4 linked regions of the Drosophila melanogaster genome follow. The protein of the gene in region 1 interacts with the protein of each later gene in a pairwise test. Each region holds a gene or a part of one and is shown on either strand. Other genes may lie near its edges. The genes, in order: CG15282, CG30184, CG1648 and Tsp96F.

The links.
Region 2: the proteins of CG15282 (region 1) and CG30184 interact in a two-hybrid assay, tested with the Drosophila melanogaster proteins (one large-scale study listed by BioGRID).
Region 3: the proteins of CG15282 (region 1) and CG1648 interact in a two-hybrid assay, tested with the Drosophila melanogaster proteins (one large-scale study listed by BioGRID).
Region 4: the proteins of CG15282 (region 1) and Tsp96F interact in a two-hybrid assay, tested with the Drosophila melanogaster proteins (one large-scale study listed by BioGRID).

Annotation. Positions count from the first base shown.
Region 1 is NT_033779.5:14,709,330-14,714,500, forward strand, and holds CG15282 (uncharacterized protein), read left to right. Parts: upstream 1-3,141; 5' UTR 3,142-3,257; intron 3,258-3,313; 5' UTR 3,314-3,412; coding exon 3,413-3,424; intron 3,425-3,495; coding exon 3,496-3,723; 3' UTR 3,724-3,789; downstream 3,790-5,171. Other genes in the region: CG34165 (uncharacterized protein), read left to right, coding at 4,500-4,511, 4,603-4,890.
Region 2 is NT_033778.4:23,562,282-23,567,340, reverse strand, and holds CG30184 (uncharacterized protein), read right to left. Parts: upstream 3,369-5,059; 5' UTR 3,263-3,368; coding exon 2,591-3,262; 3' UTR 2,561-2,590; downstream 1-2,560. Other genes in the region: Pi3K59F (phosphatidylinositol 3-kinase 59F), read right to left, coding at 3,529-3,974, 4,033-4,394, 4,469-4,742, 4,814-5,059.
Region 3 is NT_033778.4:9,809,905-9,815,736, forward strand, and holds CG1648 (uncharacterized protein), read right to left. Parts: upstream 2,871-5,832; 5' UTR 2,845-2,870; coding exon 2,820-2,844; intron 2,761-2,819; coding exon 2,578-2,760; intron 2,065-2,577; coding exon 1,574-2,064; 3' UTR 1,415-1,573; downstream 1-1,414. Other genes in the region: lectin-46Cb, read left to right, coding at 5,611-5,748, 5,801-5,832.
Region 4 is NT_033777.3:25,877,218-25,884,091, reverse strand, and holds the start of Tsp96F (tetraspanin 96F), read left to right. Parts: upstream 1-2,664; 5' UTR 2,665-3,010; coding exon 3,011-3,076; intron 3,077-6,874.

The sequences.
Region 1 (5,171 bases):
GAGCACTTGCGGCAATTGCAATTTAGAATTTCAATTATATTTATATTTTTTATGGGGTTTTAGGGTGGTGCCTAGGTGGAAAATGCCCGCACACACGGAAGTGCTGGAAAACTACAAATCAAGTGCCACGCACGCAAATTTCCTTTAATTAAAACCAAACTTTTAAGAGCCCCTCGTCTGCATCTTCTTCACGTTCCTCGGCCGCAGATGCATCTTCACTTGGTTACCCAACTGCAAACTACTCGGGATCAACTTAAGCGAATCCAAGGCGACATAATCTTCGAGTGAGGCCCAAAGTGCGGGCCGCTTTTGTTGGTCGCAGGGCGAAGGGATTAAAGGCCAAAGTTTGCTCAGGTGAAGAAATACAATTAGCGAGTAGGACGAGGACACTGTGGCACAAATGAAGTACCGAAATTCATTTTAAAATGTCTTGTCCTTATATTACAATGAAACTTACATGCTATTTTTCCCAATTTAAATTGCACGGCATTACTAATTATTCGAAATTACTGTTTAAGTCACAAATTAGCTGCAAAATAATTAAGTTGCTAAGTTTTTAATCAATTCTTACCAAGGATTAAGCAAGGTTATTGCACGACTGTAATGAACTGCATAGATAAATAAAAAGTTTTACAAGGCATAATTATTAGTATTATTAACTGGTTCATTTACGGATTTAATGCCCTTTTTTTGGGGCTCTTTTGGTTTTAATGTGCCTAAAATTAGCTGGGGTCAGGGAATGCCACTCCTGATTGGGATTATGAATATGAAGTCAAAGCCTACAAAAATCTCTTCCAAGTTTGGTTTTGTAAGTAAAATTCAGTTTTCTTCGCGTTCCAGCCGGAAGTGCACTTAGTATAAAAAAAAAAACGCGGTGAGGGCAAAAAGCGGGCCAAAAGGCAATAAAGAAAACTTCGCCGCCCTTCGAAGCGATGCGAGTGCAGTGGGAAACTTTTCTAACCCATATTAAAACATATTTGCGCAAAAATATGCAGATGCCCGCAGAGTGCAAGGAAGTTTTCACGAATATATGCAGGTTCCTGCCATATCTATATATGGACAGGTGGCGGCGGTGCGTTGGCAGTCAATTGCTCATTGACTTGGCTCAAAAATTGTTGAGTGTCGAGTTCTAAGTCCTAAGCCCCTGCTAACATGTTGGCGAAAGTTCCCGGCACCAGATACGGAAGAGCCGACATCTTCCTCTTCGGAATACCATTTCTTTCGGGCTTAGTTTCCAGTTGAGTTTACGTGAGCTTGGATTTCAAGCTGTGCGCGCACATAAGTTTGCGGCTTAAGCATGTGAAATTCATATGGATGGAAATGGAACCACCCACACGCCACCCCACATATTCAGCTCCAGGAATTTGCACCCACCTGCAGGTGGGGCATAACATTCTGACTGGGCTAATGCATTGCTAGCCACCCAAATAACCTAAGACATTGCGTCGCACGGGGGTGCCAAAGAAGTCAAGCCAAGTTACTAGTGCCAAAAGTTTAAAATTAAACGTAGTTATATCAAAAAAAAAACAGCTTGGTTGGAAACGTAGGGTACTACTGAACTATATATAACGAAGAATGTGTATCTTAAATAGTTTAAATGTTTTTTTTTTACTATTTTATTTAACCTTTCTTTCATTCGCCAATACCAACTTAACGTAAATCAAGAAACTAACGTAGTCAACAGTTTGTTGTTTACCTATCGGTGACGCAAATATTTAATTATAAATTCAGCTCGATTAAAGTTTAAAAGAGCAAAGAATGTCCCAAAAATGTTGCGTTGTAAGCAAAAGGCTAATTATGTTTATGCAAAGTGTTTTTTTTTTGAACTTATGGAACCTAATGGAATATAATTTGAACAAAATTATTGAAAATTGACGGTAATTGAAATGAATTTGAACAAATTTCAGTGCACGGCTTTGGGTGTCGTGTTGGGCCACCATCAAAGGAGTCAAAGAGCGTTGAATGTTGAATGTTGCAACTTTGACACGCGACGCAGACGTTGGCCCAGAGTGTTTTCCCCGGAGCTCTGCAATTTTAAGGGCCTAGGCCTCCCGAAAAGGGTTCATTAGACATTTTACCAAAATTACTGCACATTTCCAAAAAGCAACGGCTATATGATTAGTTTTGAAGCGGTGGTTTATTTGAAGTAGAGGGTTTACTTTGATTTAAGTTAAGTTGAGCGAGTTTGCGTTGTAAGTTACTTGAACATTAAACGGATAAAGTCACTAGTACCCACACTAAACAGCTTACTTGCCAACCGGGAAGAGGGACTTGTGGTGCCCGACTAAACACAAATTCGATGAAATAAAAATAAATTAGCTGCTTTAAATGAGCCAAATAAATTCATTTAGGGTTTTATGCGCTCCACTGAAGTATGCCAAAAGGCACCGTCTTCGTCGTCGCAGTCTTTCGCATCACCCTCTTTTCGGATGGCAGGGTTAAGAGCCAAGTTAAAGGCAACACGTATTGCCAAACTCGATTGCCGCTGGCGCCGCACACCAAATGCAATTTCACTTCACCCTCGTCGAGGTACGGTAAAATTTCCAGGGTCTCCGGTCTCCGGTCGCCAGTATTCCCCATTCGCTGCAGGTGATTCCCCATCGAGACACTTATCTATTGAGTGAGCTTGGTTCGCTTCGTTTGGACCGCTCTTGAAGTGAACGCCAACGAAATAAGAAAACAACAAAGTTTCTTTTGATTATGTCAATGGAATTTGTTTATCTCAACGAAATGTAACCGAATTGAAAAAAATATGTTTTTTTTACGCTCATTTGCATTTACTTTTGCCCGGATATAAATGTGGCAATTGGAAGGGGTGATTTGTTCAAATGTCCAGCTCAGTAAGATTCAATAATTATATATACACGTAACACATTAATGTGATTCTATGGTAAACATTAGAGTAAGGAAGCAAATTTGTTTTGAGAACCCCAGAAACAAAGGCATCATCAACAACGTCAAGTAGCATCAACAACGTCTAGTTTGGGTTCAATATATTGATTCTTGGAAACGTGCCTCTAGAAACTGAATAGCTTAGTCATAAATTCAGTAAAAATACTATTTAAATATAAATTGGCAAACTATTAAAATTCATATCAAAAGCCACGCACCTGGCGCCTGTTCCCCTAAAAAAAAATGGAAACCGGTCAATAACCACAACAAATTCAAAACCGGATTGGAAGAGAAACGCTGGTCACCTGTGAGGAAAGCCCCCACGTCTGGTCCAGTGTCTGGGACAAGTTTTTATTTCAGTGCGGGTAAAGAACCTCCGAAATTCAAACATTATATGAATTCAAAAAAATCGTATAAATAGAGAAAGACGTGACAGAAAGGGCACAGTATCGAGTGCAACATCGAAGCATCCTCATCTTCTGGGATATTAGTACAAATTGAATTCATTTTCAAATTCAATATGAAATTCTTGGTAAGTTTGGCCACCAGAGCTACACCTCGCAGGGATTAAGGACTTTATAAAAATAATAAACGGCCATTCAGGTGATCGTTTTTGTGGCCCTTATCGCCGTTGCTTCCGCGCTTCCTCAATTCGGATATGGAGGATTCGGTGGATTCGGAGGATTCGGTGGCCAACAGCAGCAGCAAGAAGGATTCGGCGGTTTCGGAGGCTTCGGAGAACAGCAACAGCAGCAGGAAAGCTTCGGTGGATTCGGCGGATTTGGAGGAATCGAGCAGCAGCAGCAGCAGCAACAAGGAGGCTTCTTCTAAGGCTGTTACTTTAGTTCCTCGACTAAAAATTAAAATAAATTATTTGAACGTATTAGTATAACAAACACAAAACAGTTTTTGTTTTTAAATACTCATTTACATGTTTTGACAATGGCTTATTGTAGGCCTTTAGATCGACAGAGATTTTATTAATGAGTAACCTTCATTTATTTCGCTTGCTTATAAATACGTTTGGGTTTATTTTTTTGGACATAAGCAACATCAAGAAAAATGAATTATTAAATTAAATTAAAAATTTGTGTTTCAACATAAAAAATTGTTTTTATTTAGCTAATCGAAAATCACTTAATGGGTTAATGACATTTTTGTGCTATAACAACATTAATTGCAAACACTTGAATAATTCGCAAATGATGTTGGCATAAAAACCAAAGGCAGATACTGACTCATGCAAAATTGTGAAATAACCAAATGTTCTGACAGCAATAATTTAACAAAAAACCTAATTTGATTAGCGAAGAGCATACGCCAAGAAGAGCTGATTGCAAACCTGTATTTTTAGTGGGCCCGTCAACCCCAGATACTTGAACGTTTTCAACAACAGAAAAAATCCCCTATAAACACAAACGTTCACAATGATTTGAACAGGGAAGTCCGAGCGGCGATCGCACCGTGCTCAACCAGTTTTGAATGGGCATAAAGCCTAACAAAAATTCAGATAAATACTCATAGCCAGCAGCCGAAACTCAAACAGTTGATTTTAGCATTCCGGTGAAATAAGATTGTTCGCTTGAGGAATATTTTCAATATTCAACATGAAATTCACGGTATTTTTCGCTAAAAATTGGCTAATATAGACATCTACGTTATTTTTTAGTTGAAACTAAATGTATTGTACTGTATGTATTATTTTTTTAGATAATCGTTTTTGTTGCGCTCCTCGCCTTTGCATCGGCCCAGTTCGGTCCGTTTGGTCAAATTATTAGGGGTATTGAACGATTTGAAGGTGGTCTGCAACAACAACAGCAGCAGCAGCAAAGCGGCTTTGGCGGTGGTCAGCAGCAGCAACAGCAGGAGGAGGGTGTCATCTTCAGAGGTCCTTTCGGCGGCGGAGTGGAGTTCTTCCAGGAGCAACAGCAGCAGCAGCAAGGCGGTGGAGGTCAGCAGCAACAGCAGCAGGAGAACCTATTTAACTTCTTCGGCTAAAGCTCCTTAGTGAGGGAAACTAGACATAGACTGACCACTATCTATAGAACTCAAAAGCAAGCCATTAACTAAAGCCATGATCGTAGAGATAAACACACGATAAATAAATATTTTTAAAAACACACAATTATAAACCAAGACATAATAATGCTTTTCTATAATCCTAGTTTAAATATTTAATACTAGTTCATGCAAAACCAAGCTAATTTTAGTTTAATAAAGCAATAACGCTTTGTCATATAAAATTACACGAAATCAAATACAAACAATTTGTTTACGAG
Region 2 (5,059 bases), on another chromosome or scaffold:
CTAACTGCCAGGCGACAGATGCGGGCAGATGCGAGGGGCAGGACGGAGGCAGGAGGCAGGAACGAGGGGATAGGGAGCCCCACATACTGGGGCATGGGCATGGGCATGGGCAGTATGCAAAGCCTTCCCCCTTTTGGCACCGCGCAATATGGTTAATATGGCGCGACATTTCGTCCGCCGCCGTTCGCTCAGCTCGTTCGCTTAGTCAGCCCGCTGCGCTCGATGCTCGCGGGGCTATCCGCAGGGGCAGGGGGAGGGGTAGTGGGGAGTATGGGGGGCACTAAATGTTTAGTAACCAACTGAAATAGTAGCACTCGTGTTAGTATCGGTTCATGAAAAACGAACGGCAGCGAAATAGAATTGAACGAAAAATAAATGAGAGCCACTTCGGTTTACACAGAGTTTCGCATGTAGCTACACGACTTGCACTTGGATTTGAATATGAATGCGCCACAGACGGGGTCAGCATTATAGGGCCATCATATAGTAACCACATTGGGTTTGAACAATGGAGTAGAAGCACAAATACTAAGTTGTTGAATCTGAAATACGCTAGTAACAATCATATTTCAAGTATGTTCCTATACCATTTCGCCTAGTTGGCTGACCCCAGCTGTATCTGCATGATCAGGGGCGTGGCCAGAGGGGTGGCGGTGGAAAGTGGTAGCAAACGTCGTCAGCGTAAACTGATTACCACCGGACAATCTATGGAGCTGAACTAGCGGCACGTACACAGCGTTTTTGGGGCCAAAACCCGAGATGGGGGCTTACGGGGCTCCGGTGCTACGATGGGAACCTTCGTTTAGGGAGTTGGGTTCGTCGACGGCCCGAAAAGTTCCAGCTAAAAGCGACTGCACATAGGAAGTCGGAGTTAAGACTTCAATTACAATGGTGCACCACCCATGGGTCGATTGTGAAATTATAGACGAACCACCTTTGGGTTCCACGAATCCGAAATGAGGCGAAACGAAAAGAGTGCGCCAAAAGCCAAAAGCGATTACCAATTAATGGAACGTGCTGCCAGCTAAGATTCAACCACAATTACTACTATTTCCATATGATAAGTTCAACAAACAATGACAATTCTGCATGCATTGACTTCAAGTAAGTTAGCTAACTTACATATGTATGTATGAATCACCTATTTTTGCTCTAATTATCTCAGCCTTTGTATCTCATCGTAACGAACTCATCACCATAACGATTAATCTTATTCACTCAATCGACTCGGAAACTCGCCGTTTTATCGTTATCACCAGCCGGCTAAATTGTTGCGAAACATAGTTGAAATTCCGAGACTTTGGGCCCAACACCCACCGCAAACTGCACGTAGTGAAATTTAGCTGCCAACTAAACCAAACATGCTGCGATCTAGAAAATGTATCTTTCAGATGCACACGCTTTCCACACACACCCACACAACCCCAAGTGCGCACACATAACTCCAGCTTGGCATTCCAACTGACTTTGCACACCGAATGGAACACGTGCTGCATTTGGACCGGCTCGAAGGACCACGACCGGGGAATTGGGGCTAGCAGCGGAGGGCGGAGGGAGTGGATTGGGGCTGGGCCGCCTGGTGGTTCGGTGGCTCGATGGCTTGCAGCCACAGACAATAACAAAGGCCAAGTTGAGTGCAGTTGGCAGCGGTGAGTCATGCTCGCTCGCTCGCTCGCCAGTAGCACACCCACCCACTCACTCGCACTCGCAGCTGCAGTGGGCTCTCTTCGGGAAGAGTGGCATGTGGCATAGTGCTCCCGATAAGAGATTCCTGTTGCTGCTGCTACTATACAACATTGCACAGATCGAGTGAATTGTAAAGGCGAAAACGGGAAATGATGATTACACACTCAGTTTTCCGCCTCTTCCAAAGTCAGAATGGAAATTGGGAAAGTCCTAGAAATTGGAATTTCTTGAAGGGAAGAATTCCAATCTTCAGAGTTAGCCAAGGCCCACTGTGCCTTTCGTTTTGGCACGGCGTCTAAGTGTTCATATGCACATGGCCGCGAGTGTGCTAGTCCCGTTTTTTTTCGTTTTTTTTCGTTTGTTTGTGTTGCCTCGGGCGGCAACTTTAGTGGCAACGGCTAACTTTTAGCAAAAGTTTTAGCAACGAGTACCTGCAACTAACTAAAACCACAGGCACACAGACCCAGAGCTCGAGCGCCGCCCGCAGAAGTTTCCACCACGCATCGAACTATGAAAATCGGAAAAGTTTGCAGACAGAAATTTCCAGCCATGCATCCGCACAATGGCGAAGTGGACGACGCAGTGCGTTCCCCCCGCAACTCACCGCACCGTTCGCCATCGTCATTAAAGCTGGACTCCTCCGCAGGCTTAAACCAATGCAAAAATCCACAAAATCGACACAATTCCGGCAAAAGTAACGAAAATCACACGCGGCGCGCCAAACAAACTTCCAAGAACCAAAGGAACTGTAAACGAACAGCTGTCAAAGTGCGCGCGCTCCAAGAGACGGGGCTGTTATGCGGCGAACAGCTGATGGCGCCAGGGCTGCACAGCAGCGGGCTTTCAAAAGGCACAACTACAGTGAGCACACGAGCAGGTGAACGTTAATATTTAATTACTTGAGCTATTTGAAAACCTCCGAGTTCCTAATCCGCTCCTCCTCCCTCTCCTTGGCATCCGAGTCCGACTCGGAGGACGAGACCTGCCGCTTCCGGCCGGAATGCTCCGATGGCTGGGCGCTGGTCAGCATCCTGGCGGCGATGCGCCGAAAGAACCAGAAGCGACTGAGATAGGCCTCCGCGCCCCGGCTGATGAAGTACAGCTGCAGTGGTCGCTTGCTCCGCTGTGGATGCATCTTCTGATTCGCCCGACTGCGTGAGTGGGAGAACATGAGATCCAGAGCGAAGGTGCAGTGCATCAGATAAATGGCGCCGGCGTACAGAGCCACAATGGCGTTGTCCCGACAGCACGCATAGAAGCTGGGCCAGCGCTCAGTGCGGAACTCCTCCAAAGTGGCCACATACATGTTGGCGTACACGGTGACCATGTGCAGGCCACCCAAGATCCCACCGAACAGCGCCTCGTGCTTCATCGTCGGCCGCTCGGCGTAGAAAGCTCCAATCAGTGATATGAAGCATATGATCACCGAGCCGCCGTACGTTCCGCACAGCAGGAAGATGTGCGGCACACCCTCCTCCATGAAGCAGGTCCAATGGACGAGGCAGCAGCCCAGGCTCAGCAGCAGCTCCATCATCTTGAACAGGAACCAAACGGGCTTCTTGGAGCGCACCTGCATGTTTGCCCGATTAAATGGTTATACTACAATTGTGACAAGATATATAGTATATGTGGATACATTTGGTTCCGCACAACGGACTTTTAGCTACAGGCCACCTACGACTAAAGCAAACTTACGACTAGGATTTAAAGGATAAATAATATTAATAAGTATTGATAAGTATAAGGTATTAATCTAATGTACACTTTTGATGTTAAACAACTCAGCTGAACCGAACTAGGATTACTCGCTCCTCCCACAATTTCTTGTGCAAGCAATGTCCTCTACTTCCGCCAGTATTGGGTGAACCGATGAATCTGCTCCACCAGAGCCGGCATCACCGCCGTAATGGACACGTCCAGGAGGCTCTGCAAGTGCTGCACTGCCTCCTCGTCTGTGAGGCCCAGCTGCAGGTTCTCCTCCACCTTCTTGACCGCCTTGTCGGGCTCGAGAGCGATATCCGGCACAGTGGCGTCCACCATCAGAGAGAACAGGTTGAGCATCACGTTGGCATGCCGCCGCAAGTGCAGGTACGCCGTGTAGCACTGCTTGCGGAACTCGTGGTGATGCTCGGAGCTGATGCCGCCCATGGCCTCCACCATTTCCTTGCTCAGCTTCATTGGCGGCGGCATGGGCTTGGGATCGCGTCCCAGAATGTAGCCGAAATCGATGTGGAAGAGCTTGCCGTTGGTGGTCAGCAAGAGGTTGTCCAAGTGCCGGTCGCCCACACCTGCGAGGAAATTCCAAGGATTAGCGGAATCCACCTGGTTACACTCCTTTAGTCTCACCCAGCAAATAGGTGATCACACAGTAGCCCGCGCAGCTCTTGATGTAGGTGTCCATGACCTCCGCCGAAATGCCGTAGGGTCCATTGTCGCACGGATGATGCTTGCGGAAGAAGTTGTGGATGTTGCCCTCCCGCGCCAGCACCTCCGCCACGGTGCAGGAGTCGACGTACTGGAGGAAGCCGTGCTTGGAGCTGGTGGCCAGCACTTTGTAGGGAGTCAGCTTCAGGTCGAGGTTCTCGCGCCTCAGCAGCTTGTCCATCAAAGTTATCATCTGCAGGATGAGCTGATCCTGGCGCAGATCATCACCGTGCTTGAAAATGGCCGCGTACTCGTGATGGGCAATCGAAGTGACAAAGGTGAGCCTGCGAATAGGATTAAGGATTAGGATTGAAGTATTCAGTGAGTGAGTAGAGTTTGTTGGTTGGTCATGGCGTACTTGGCTGGCATCAGGGCGCTCTTGAAGAGCGATGTGCGCATGGGCACGATCTTGGTGATGTAGATCTCCGGATCCAGGGGAAACGGAATGGGCTCGAAGTTGGTGAAGTTCACCTTGAACATGTCCTGTTCGGCCAACAGTTTCTGGAACTTCTCAGTCTTCTTATTGCGATTTCCCGGCTCCTTGGCCACCAGTTTCACCAGTTTGACCAGCTCGTCGATGAAGCGCCGCTGCTTCCGGAGGTTGTAGAAGATGCCTCTCAGGTTGAAGTTGCCTGTGCGGATGAGCGGATTAGAGAATTAGGGAATTAGAGAATGAGCCATGATTTCGTTAAATTACACCCACCGTTCTCTAGCACCTTCAGAAACATCTTGAGCACCATGGCGTACATGTCGTGGGCCCTCTCGTCCTGCTTCCTCACCGACTCCACTTCCTCCACCTCGATGGACAAGTACCAGTAGAAGTAGTTGGCCAGCGTGGCGTTCGTGCAAGCGCGCTGGATCAGGAATGTGCAGAGATTGGCTGGAACACTGCCGAAGCTGATGCCCTCGGCCAGCATTAGGGCATTGGAGTTTGAGTCGCAGGGCAACG
Region 3 (5,832 bases), on another chromosome or scaffold:
TAACTTTAAATCAACTCGCTTGGGCTAACCTAATTGGCGCGACTTTTGCGTGGCCGGCATAAATTTGAATTTGGCGCCTCGCACCCACTAGTACTTGAATCGCAAATGGAATGCATTTATCATTCGCCTTTCCAGTCAGCAGGCGCACTTATCTGAAATTAAAAATCGCTCTTACCTGAATTTATGTCAGCACTTTGCTGCCAATACTTTGCACACATTCCTAGCGTCCTTTCGTCCTTTGGTCCTTTCGTCCTTTGGTCCTTTGAAGTTGTGCGTTCAATTGACGTTGCAATGCACCGGGGTCACTTGTTAGCCACAACAAACTTTTCCCATAATTAAAACCTAACACAACTTTCGGCTTCTGTTCGACGAAAAGTTGCCCGACATATCGGAGTACACAATATGACCTCTTCTATTAGCAGATTTCTGCATGTTTCGGTCTATTTGTATAGATCCGTCCATCTCCATGGTCCGCTTTTCTGCGAAAGTTTCCCCTGCTGCTCACCTTGGATCTGTGAAAAGGTTCTGTAATGAGACAGGCAGCTCTGGAGGAAGGGGAAAGGGTAAGCCGGAAAAAACTTCTTTTGTCTTAGAAGCAAAATAAAATGTTACCACTTTTGGGTGAACAGTGGAATGTGTAGAATTTATAACTGATTTATTGGTTTTATTAAAGAAATTGTATATAGCTGTAATTATATGCTCAAAATATGTCCAGAAATAATATTATTTTCTGAACAACCAATGGCCAAGATAAGTCAGTAATTAAATAGTAAGCCCAAATAAATACATCAAGTAAACTTGTAGTTTGAAAACTTCATTAAAAAGTAATTTAATTTTTTTGAATGAAACGGTAAAAGCGAGATAAAACATGGATACCCTGTTTTCAAACCATTCAGCGTTCTATCCCACATGTAGGTGGCGCTATTTGCGCTTGCAGCCGAAGTAAATTCAGTGTGGCCAGATTACAGTATTACCATACATCACCATTTGGCGCTAAATTGAAAATGAGTTAATAAAAGTTTCAGTAATAATATAATCAACATAACATCAGTATATCCAAATATATACATATAATACGCTTTGCTTAGTGGCACCCCCACCAATTGAAAGACCACAAATCTCATTCGAATCCAATATATTAAAAACACATTTGCAATGTGTTGTGCAAGAGTTAAAGGTACTTAATCATACATCTCTACATAAACAGAATATACGTATATTAAAAGCATACTCAGCGCAGCTGTATATAAAATATCAAATGCCTCAAAGTAACAAAATTCGGCCGAAGAAGAAGAACGAAGGGGTTAATTACACTTTGTACGGATACGGACAGAGGATGTGCTGAAATGCTCACATCGAAAGCAGCGGCTGCAAAATAATCCGTCCGCGCGATATTCAAAAAATATGTAAATATATATATATATATATATTGTGTATATTCAATTGAGGATTTAGCAATCACATTACTGGCACTCGTTACATTGAAGCAAATTCCTTTCTATTTTTTTTGTTTTTGTATCTAAAGCATTTTCACATCAAGATATTTTAGGTGGCACCGCGAAGGGAGACGCCTCTACTTCTGACCCAGATGCAGCTTGCCCAACAGGGCGTTGGCCTGCTGTCCGGCAGACTCCTGGGCCTGTCCGGCCGCATCCTGGACGGTCTTCTCGACGGACTGGCGCTTCTGGTCGACATACTGGTTGGCCTCCTGCAGCTTCTGGTCCACCGTTTGACTGGTCTGCTTCAGTGCCCCATCGATGGCGCCCTCCGCCTGCTTCAGCTTCTGGTCCGCCACGTTCTCGGCGGCCTTCACGCTCTTGTTGATGGCGTCGTTGGCCGCCTTCTTGGTCTGGTCCACCGCATTGGCGGCCGCTCGCTGGGAGGCCTCCGCCACATTGGCCGCCACCTGCTTGGAGTTCTGGGCCACGGCCGCCGCCTGGGCCACCGTGTTGTCCACCGCCTGCTTGCCTTGGTTGACGGCTCCGGCGGCACGGTTCACACCCTGGTCAATCGCCTGTCCAGCCTTCTGAGCCTCCGCGGTGGCCAGAGCAGCGGCTTCCTTGGCTGTATGATAAAGAGAGATATTAGTGGGAAAAATTCTTACAAAATATCTTTAAAAGTGCTCCTAAAGATATTTATTGAATTGGTCGGGCTTTGCTCCAGCATAAAACATAGCATTGATGTTCTGTTTAGTTATAAATCTCTAGCACATTAAATTGCTTTTCACAATTATAGAAATATTTCAATATTTATGAAGAAATGTTTTCAAAAATGCGAATCTTATTCTTGGAAACATGTTTTACGTCAACGCGTCACTAAAGAATTCCATTTATTAAGTTCTCTTGTGTTTGATATGCTTAAAAGATTTGCGTTTTAGATAAATTGGAAATGGAATGCTAATGAGAAAACATTTTTAGCAAGAACTGAAAGTTGATTTTGAAAGTTATCTCAAACGGGACTCATTCAATTCTTCGTTGCAAGAGTTTTTGGAAGTCTTTAGAATTAATAACTCCAATTAATTCTCTAAGACATCTTTTATGTGTTACATTCATTATTTTTTGGATGTTCGTTACTCACCCGTGCTGGCGGCCAACTGCTCGGCCTCGCCCTTGGTCTGCTGTACGGACTGGCCCACCTTCTTGGCCTGCTCCTCGGCTAGCTTCTGGGCCTCGGCAGCCTTCTCGTTGGCCAGCTTCTCGGCCTCATCCTTCTTCTTGCTGAAGAGGTTGGCGGTCTTGTCACCGAAGTTCTTCAAGGAAGCTGGGGATTGAATGAGGAGTGCATTTTAGATCCTGACTGTGCTGGCTGGATGGGATTACTTTGGTTTTGGCGACTAGGAAACATGCTGACTGGCCCTCTGAATGCTAACTAAGCTCTGGCCTGGCGCTAATTATAATTTATAGCCTGATTGCAATCAGCAGGGTGGAGCGCCGATCAGATCGAAGATGCGAGATTTGAGATTTCAGATTCCAAATTCCAGACAGGTAATTGCCGAAACATAAACAAAGCAGCTGGAGCATGAACTATTTACATGACTAAATCGGATCGATTAGACTGGGACACTTTCCTATTAATAGAAACTGCGCAACTAGGGGCTGTTGAAATCGTGATCGCCAGCCCCATGGCGTCAGCCTTAAAATTCGAGACTTGAGACTTATATTCGCAATTTAATAGAAATTAACGAGCGCCAGCTTTTGCTGTCCCCTCGAATCTGCATTCACTGGGAGTGACGTGTGCGTCCACTCAAATAGAAACATTGTGCCGCTCAACTCGGAACCGGGTGCGAATCGGTTGGGCGAAACGGAAACGGGCGGAAATAGCCGAGGAATTTCTTTGTAATATACAGTATGCTTGTATGCGAATGAGGCAAACAAAGCTCGAGTATTCAAATTATTCGGCGTATGTGATGTCATAATGGGCAGCCGGCGAATGAAATCGCCCCCAAGTTTCTAGTGCGGTCTATTCACGCTTTCTGATTGTGATCGGGAATGTGTTTATTCTGATTCGGTTCTCTCCGCAGAGATACTTTAATGGCCCCATACACTCGGCTCATTTCCAAATAATTTAGTTTCGGCCAATTTCGCATTTCGCATTTCGCATTTAATGAGCCAATCGCCACCGCAGGAGCCGAAAATTGTGCGAAAATAATAGTTTCTATTCTACGCTTGCTGGGTATCGAGATTATGGAATGTGTGGGCTCGGCCGAGGTGTTGAAAATTACTTTTACTGCTCAAAAAAAACAGGGTGAATCAAAGGGAATTCAGACATTTCAAATGCTAATGGCTAATGGCTAAGGAATGTATGTATGTGGCATTGGACTTGCTTAACAATCTAGAATCTAGAATAGCAATTTAAGTGGAAGGAATCGTGCAATCTACACTGTACAATATGTAACTATATGTATAGAGATGCATGCTAAGTATATTGTGCTGTTTTCCAAATTAAAATCGTATTTAAAGATACTTAAAATACATTCGTAGAATGATAAGTTATTAAACTTAAAAAAGGTGGCCTTACGTATAAGGCAACCGCAGTGTTTAATATTCCCCGCCAAATCCTTTGGATATATGTACATATATATCTTAATGGCTTACACACGCGGAATTCCTAAGGCCAGCGGCCCTATTTAAGGCATTTGCGTAATACGACGCATTTTGTTCTTCAGTCTTTATTCAAAACTGTGGCAACTTGTGGTCAACACTGAAAACCGGCTAGAAGCATGGCCAAAAGGTAACACAATAAGCCCAGATTCTCTCACAGCCTCTGGCGTCGTTTTTGTTTTGGTTTTGGTTTGGTTTTAGTTTTGGATTTTGATTTTGCTCTCTGATTTTGTTTTCGTCGATGTCGCACTCGCAGCTGAAATAATGCGCAGAAGCCTCGGATAGAGGAAAACCTGTAGCTGTAGCTGTAGCTTGGGCTACATGGGAACCCAGCTCGGAACGGACACACATACGGGCATGGAACGAATATCTATGAGTTACTGCGATTTGAGGTCTGCCGACTCACGTTCCACACCAGTTCTGGATGCCTTAAAAAAAAGAGCTACAATCCGTGATGAATCGATGGAGCTACTGGGGCCGCCGTTGTTGTTGCCATTGCTGATGATGTCATGTGAGATACAACTGCACAATCGAGATACAATATACGAAAGAATTATATATGTGAGAGTAGCGCGCGTGGCAGAAAGGGGTGGCGTGGTACTCACACGCCCCACGAATTGTTGTGGCCACCCGGCGCAATCGTCATCCGACCGAAGGTCGTCTGAGTCAGCTGGCAACAGAAGGAAAGGCGGGCGATTCGTGTCCTGGCCACGGACAATCCAATGGCTGATGTCACGACCCTGCCAGGTAAATCAATAATCGGAAAGAACAAGGCCGGGTCAGACATCTAGCCCTTCGGGCGGGTTATGCTAATGACTATGAAGTCACTCCAGTTGCTCGAATCACAGAACTTAATATTCTTAGCGTTTTTGAGCTGTTGAAGATTACCAGCGAGTTCATAGCCAGCAATTAACTCACTTCGGCAGATACAAACTAAATGGGAGGACAGATCAGGGTCAAAGGAACTGAAGCATTTTATATCCATCTATCATCATCATACTCCAGAAGAAGAAAGCTCTGCTACCTTCGAATGAGTTAGAATACTGCTAAGAATTATTGCTTATTTCAAAACCATATATATAATCTTTTAATTTATTTGCATTAAACTTGTATTACAATTTTATAACATCTATATATGATATAATAGTTACTCGCAATATGCCCATTATTAGGCGGATGAATTGCCATCAAGGAATTTAGAGGGTTAACATTACTGGCAATTACAGCACCCCATGCGACTTTTCCGGCTCGTTTTCTTCGAGTGTATCTAATAGCCAATTAAACTGAATGACCCTAAACCTGACCCACTGGCGGGTGAGCAAATTAGCCCACGACATTGGCGTAGGCATTCCGGCGGCATGGACTTGTAATTGAATTGGCCATGCTGCCGAAGATGCCGCTCCAGCTCCAGCGAGCTCCAAATCGATTGGGCGCACTGCTGGCCAGCGGAGGATATAAGTACAGGAGGCGATTTGAGCCGGCTCACTGTGCACCGGCGGAAGCGAGCGAAATGAAGCATCTCCTGACTGCACTCGTGGCCCTGCTGAGCATCCTGCCGCGGGGCGAGCTCCTGGGATCAGGACCCCCCTGCCCGCGTCGCTATTTGCGCAGGATCAACGGCAAGTGCTACTACTTTTCGGTGAAAAAGGTAAGAGTTGATCTGTCGCATGGGCTTATGAAATAATATGAAACCCATTCAGATGAACTGGTTTGGCGCCCTGAACAACTGCCT
Region 4 (6,874 bases), on another chromosome or scaffold:
TAGGGAGACAGAGCGGGATAGTTGCGAATGACAATAAGAGAGACAAAGCGGGACAGTTGGCAACTTCCTTGGTCGGTGTTGTTGTTGCTTCAATCATGTCGCTTTTGTTGCTATTGTTGCATGTTGCCAAGTGCCGTTGCTCGCACTAATTTATGTTGACTGTTGGCAAATGTAGGTGCATGTGTATTGGTGTCTCTTTTCATGTTTGTGTGCGGAATGTAAATGATTGAAATTCGTACATATGTACATATGTATGTAATAATGTATAAATGAAGCGATGGCCAAATTTATAGGGATTCTTTAAAGCTCCGAAATCAAGAAATATACAAAATGTCACGTATTTTTACAGGTTAATTAAAACTTGTTTGAGCCCAAATAACCCACATTTCTTCTCATTTTATATTTGAAAACAGGTTTAATCCATTTTAACTACGCTTTGCTTAGTGCTTTAAATAATCCTGATATAGAATTCAATATTCATGTCTTTCAAAAATTGAGTTTAAAAGTTTCTGTTAATTAATTAACAATTGTTACACAACTGTATCTGTGTCTGTACATTTCATTTTGCATTTGAATTAGTGTTGTTCATTTAATTTTTCTCGTCTCCCACAGTTTCTATCTCCCTCTTTCACCTCCTAGATGCAACAAATTAAGTTTCCCACACATTGCAATTTCAAGAGGGCGACAAAATGGAGAGGGGAGATGGAAAACTGTTAACGAGCGCTAATTAAAATGAAATTATGTGGCGGGTGTAAAGTTACAGTATCCAAAGTTGACACAATTTTCACAGTTTAAAGCGGTTATCGAAAATGAGCTACATAATTAGCCAAAATCATTGAGAAAACGCCGCTCGCATCACTCACGCATAAACTTACATATGCGCACACACACACGCAAACACTTTCTAATTTGAAACGCCCCAAAGTGGGGAACAAAAACAAAATAAAAGAAGTACCAAGCAATTGGCTTCGCTGTAACTGCCCACGACGAATGTGAAAGTGAAATTGGCGAAGATACAGCATTCGCAGTGGCCAAGGGGCGAGGGGTATACCTCTAACATAGAAGAGAGTGGACTTTAAACATAAATATTTACCGCTACCTTCTACACAGTAGTTTATTTCGTGAGAAAGAAACACAATATAAGGGTAGCTTTTAGAAAAGCTGTACTTTTTTCTATTAAAACTTTTCAAAATATTAAATGAAACCGTATATATTATTATTCACATTTTTATTAGGATTTCTAGCAAGCTACTACATATTACTAATCCAATCTTGCTTGTAAACGTTTGCTAATATAATTATATTTACGTTGAAAACAGTGAAATGCGCTACATTAGCACCGCCGACGGGGGAACCAATTAAGTTTTTAAGTGCACTGAACGCGGAAAGCATAAAAACAAGTGCGTAAAGTGGGCGCAACGTTTTTCGTTTATTATGCAAAAAGAGGGGGGGGGAGGTAGGGGCTTTACTTTGGCAAAGACTGGCTTGCAGCGCTTGAGAAATTTTCAGTACGACTAAAGCTTAGGCTGCGCTTTAAGGTTTTTTCCTCGTTTTTCCATTTCGTGTTTGGTTACACTCCACTTCGTTCCACTTCATTCCATTTCCATTCCACAAAACTCCAACTTCGCTCCACTGCGTAACAAAATTACAAGACACACTCACACAAACTTGCAACAAGCCGACAACAACAACAACAGCAATAAGGGAAGGGGGGAAATTGTCATGTTTCTGATTTCAATGCAATCGAAATATATATTGAAAAACGTATGTGGTGCACTCGATACTCCCCAAAAAAGTTGGGGGACTTTTCGCTTACTTTGCCTTCACATTCACATTCGCGTTTGGCTGTATTTTCCTTGGTTTTTGTTTTTCCCTTTGCACCGATGTTCGTTTTCGCGATAAAAAGGTGTCTGCTACATTTTCACGCGCCTTTCATTTGCCTGCGAGCCGCTTTTCATGCATATTTCCACGATCTTCGGCGGTCGCTGCACTTAAACGTTAGACAGCCATTTTGCATTTGTTTCTATTAGTAACTATTGCGGAGGAGAAACAACAACGAATTAAACATTTCACGCTTTAGGCCATTTTCGCCTGCGCGAACAGTGTGACCGTTTCGCAGAAGAATGAACAAAGCATGAACTATTAAGGTCACATTTCAAACTGTTTACATTTACAGATTTAAATATTTTGGGAAAATCATAGCCAAAGTAAATCAAAAACCTGGAATATCCTAATTTTCAATTACCCACTTTCATAGTAATAATTAAATAGACATGTTAAAATAATGTAAACAACCACAAATTTATACTTTAAAATGAAATCTACTTTAAATATGGTGATTATAGCTGAAACATTGGGGATAATAGTTAGTTAGAATATCTAAATTTTTAATTTTTAACTTTCATAATAACAATCAAAAGGTTATTTGAACATTATGTAAACACTGAAACTAAATTACTTTTAACATTCAAGTGAAGTTTTTATTTTATTGGGAAAATTGGCAATAGAACTTATCCAAAATATCGATAGGCCACTTTGGTTTGCGTATAGGCTGCAAATCCAAGCAGGTTGCAAGCCATGCTAAGCCTCATCAAAGTTATTCAACCACTTCTTTGGTATCTTCTAAGGGTCACCACTTTTCGGTTTTTAGCCTTTCTATACCCGCTGGTATATTTGAACGGCCGAGCTAATGGTCGCACTGATACAAGAATTTTACGTTGGACGGACGCCTCGATGCACAAATAAAATTTTTAAAACAAATCGGGTGCAACGGCCAATCGCGCAAACAGTGGCTCAAATCGGTGGATTTTAGCACGGGAAATTTTAAAAAAATTTGAAAAATATAGTACAATCGAGCGGGTGTTTTGAAAAAGTGCAAAAGGTCGAAAAGTGCAGGCGACACTGCAGTTCGGGGTTCCTTGGAAAAAGAGCATCTCCAAGTGGTTGAAAAACCAGTTAAATTGCAGCTACTTTTTAAGGAGTTACCTATTTAAGAATATCAATCCGCGCCATGGGTCTCAACGGCTGCTGTTCGTGCGTCAAATATCTGATGGTCCTTATAAACATTTTATTCTGGGTATGTAGATTCCAGCAGCAGCAGCAACAACAACAATGCGAGATTCGGTTCTCTCCCATCACAACAACAACTGGAACACACGGACCTCCTTTTCGCGCGCGTGTGTGTGGGTGTTGCGTGAGCGAATGTGTGTGTGTTGTGTATTCCCTACGCCCCTCTTTCTCACGCTTGGCGCGCGGGCGGAGGGAGGAGCCGTGCGCACGCTCTTTGGAGTCCTACCGCTCTTTCAGTCCCTCTTTCCACTCTCTCGATCCCAGAGGTGCCCAAAACATAAGTTGAAACTTATTTAAGTACGGCTTGAAATATTTAATCGAAAAGGAAGTAAAAAATATAAATAAATAAATAATAAAATAAATATAATAATATATTAACTTAAATATTTTTTTTTTAATGAGCGGGCTTAAAAACATTAAATGGACAAGATTATATAAATATTCAAGTACGCGGTTAATTAAAAACATTAATAGAAGGGTTTTTCTTTTTGAAATTAAACAAATCGGTTTTGTTTGTTATGAACTATTTGACTTTAAATTATTTTCTACCATTTATAACTTCAAAACTTCAACTGGCTTTTAAAAGCGACATCACTGTATCTCTCCATCTCCCGCTCGCACTCCCTACCGCTCTGCTCGTACTCCCGCATAAAAACAATAGAAGTTCCGTTGTGGGAGGGGACACACACACACACAGACAGATAAACATTTAAGCATCTCCATTCCCACCTCCCACTGTTTTCTTTTCCCTCCACATGTTTGTTCAGTTGTTTTTCTTTTGCTTCTGTCTCTTCCTGTCTCTCTTTTTTTGTTTTATTATTTTTATAACGTATACGTGCCGTTGATATTTTTACAAACTTCGGTTGGCTTAATTCGGTAAAAAAGGACCTCTCCTCACCCCAAAAAAAAGGGTTTTACTTTCTTTGGCCAACTTATCTGCTTGTTGTTTTACGCAATTTTCGACTTTCAACATAGCCTCGTTAGGCTTTCAATTGTTTCCATTCAATTACTATCTGCCACAGCGATTGTTTGCGTTTGTTTTGAGTTTCCTTGAGTTTTTCTTGGGGTTTCCTCTTGTCTTCCGCGGCTTGCGAAATCAGTTTCGCTTTTCCTTTGGGCAACAAATTTAAAATTTTGATTCTTATGCGGGCTGATTTCTAATTTTTTTTTCGTTCGTTTGTTGATTGTTGCTGCCTTTTTTCGATTTCTGTCTATAGTATTTATTAGTCAAAAGCTATTTTCGAATACGGGCGAGGAACAACACAAACTTACGCGTCCGTTCAGTTTTTCGTTGTTGTACACAGAAAGAAAATACTGATGCCTAGCCAAGTTTCGTGTTTGGAAACTTTCGAATACCTTTCAATTATTTTTCGTTTATTGTATATATGTCATGTAAAAAAAATTAAAATTAACCGATCCCAATAAGATTATATCCAATAATTGGTTTCTGTGTAATGTTCCTTGATCTGTGATGTTTTAGTATTCATCGTTGTTGTTGTTGGATGCACAGTGGTGTGTTTGATTTCAGTGGAGGAACAATGAGCGATAGAAATTGTGATGTGTTTGTGATGCAGTTCGTTTCACTAATCGTTTGAACTATTTTTAGAGCGATTTATGGATGAAAGTGCGTCAGATATTATTTTATATAAGACTTTTTATACATTGTTTTGAGGCTATTCTTAGCCAGGGCATGTTATCAATTACCCCACAAAGCCATAATAAATTTAATAATAGTATTTTTATATAACTTCGCAAAAAATGACCACTGTCCGATTAGTTTTGAATCTCGCTCTCCACTGTGCATCGATTTCCAAACATTTCCATTTTCATCGTCGCCGTGGGGCATCGTGATCAAACGCCACGATCTCTGAGGACGCTGACGCTCCAATGGGGCCGATATCCCACATCCAAGATGCTGGGGGAGGCCTATGCCATAAGCGTCTAAAATGCTAAACGGCCGGCGCTGTCGTCATTGAAGTTGACAGTGACCAAAACTGAAAGATTTCCAAATATTCGGTCGACCATCTGACAATCCTATCCTGTCCACCCACTAAAAAAACCATTTATTTCAGCACAGTCAGACTTCCATAGTGCAGAATTCTTAAATTCCTGAAAAAAATGTAATCTTTTGCTGTGAATAAAATAATATTTAAAAATATTTCTCCAAGTAACGAAGCTGGCCTGTATCTATTTTCAATTCGCTGTGACATGTCACATCTACATACTTAATTCGCTGTGCTATTTTTCACTCAATTATTCATGAGTGGCGCTTCATTCATTTTTCAGTTTGTATTTTCAGCTTATGGCTGATGCATGATGGCTGTTGGCTGCGATTTGCCATCGATGCGGTTAATTGTGGGACAAAACTGTGACTGGACATGCAATGCAAGCCCAGCTGCCTTTTGGCCCCATTTTATTTTTTTTTTTGCAATTTAGCAGCAGTAAAATGCTCTCTCGTTTTCCGCTTTCGACGCCTCGGCTCTGAAAACTGGGTCAACGAAGGACTCTGTACATTTATTGGCCCATTCGGCAGGATTTTTGTTTGTTTGTCCTGGACACGCGACATAGTGTCAGATGTGTAAAAATATATGTGTGTGAAAACGTTCGGGGAATCGTAAAAATTCCAACAAACAGAGCTACAAACAAGGCGTGGATTCAGTTCGTTCAGGGATAATGGGACTGATTCAAAACGAGGTCAACTTTTGTTCCCTAAAAGGATAAGGGAATTGAGGTTTATCCAAAGTAGTATATACATACACATACTTTATAAGAGCTCTAGGAATAAACCTCTTCTTCAGAAACATTTTTTTTTTTAATTCAACACATGAACAAATTCAAGATTATGTTACTGATCCATACCCGAAAACCTGACCTGGAAAAATAAGTAAAATCTATGCAAACAAGGGCTTCTGGTTACAATGTACTTACTCAATAAACTGCCCTCGAATGGGGCAACATTGTATTACGTTTCCATGAGTAGTTTTTCCGTTAGCTGCACACATGCACATTCATGAACTTTAGGGCCAGCATATCGTGCACTTTGTGGCACACTTTTTGTCTCGCTCACTTTATGGCAGCTCTCTCTTTCGTGGACCACCCACATAAAAGCCGGTCTCCGCTTCTCTTATATTTCATAAGATTTTCATGAAATTTACGAGACTTCCTCATGCTTTTTCATCCGTTTTTCCTGGGCGCCAAAAACTGTATCTTATATTTTGCTGTATCTTTAAGTTAAATAGATATTTGCTTATTGCGAGATCCACTGCGTAATCTTATCGGAAAGCACTGATGCTCTTGGCAATTACAAAAGCTTGCGGGCTGAGAAAAAATACGAGATAAGAAGTGTTTTGTATTTGGAAATGCTTCTCAGTTAGCCATCGGTTCTTAAGTGGTTCTAAATTTACATATTTCCCATGTAATATGTGCACTTGTTTACATCTCTTGATTAGCTCTCATCGCACACTCAATTTCCCTGCGATGAATAATTTTGCTGAATAATTAATGAACTTGCATAGACACCTCGACCAACCCATTAAGTCATTACCTCTATATTAGATTCTCTTACTCATTGCACGAGCGGAACAACATTTTTCTGGTGGATGGATTGGCAATAGCAAGTTTAGTGTTTAATATCTGGGTAGGAAAATTTAAGAAGAAATACATTACCGGAATTCTTTTAGCGGAAATCCAAAGAAAAGTTCATATTTCGTTTGCTGATAACCCGAGAAGTGAGATAACACGAGCTCGCAATTCTCATATTCTCGCTTGGGATCAATGTCTTGCCACTTCTATATGTATATACATA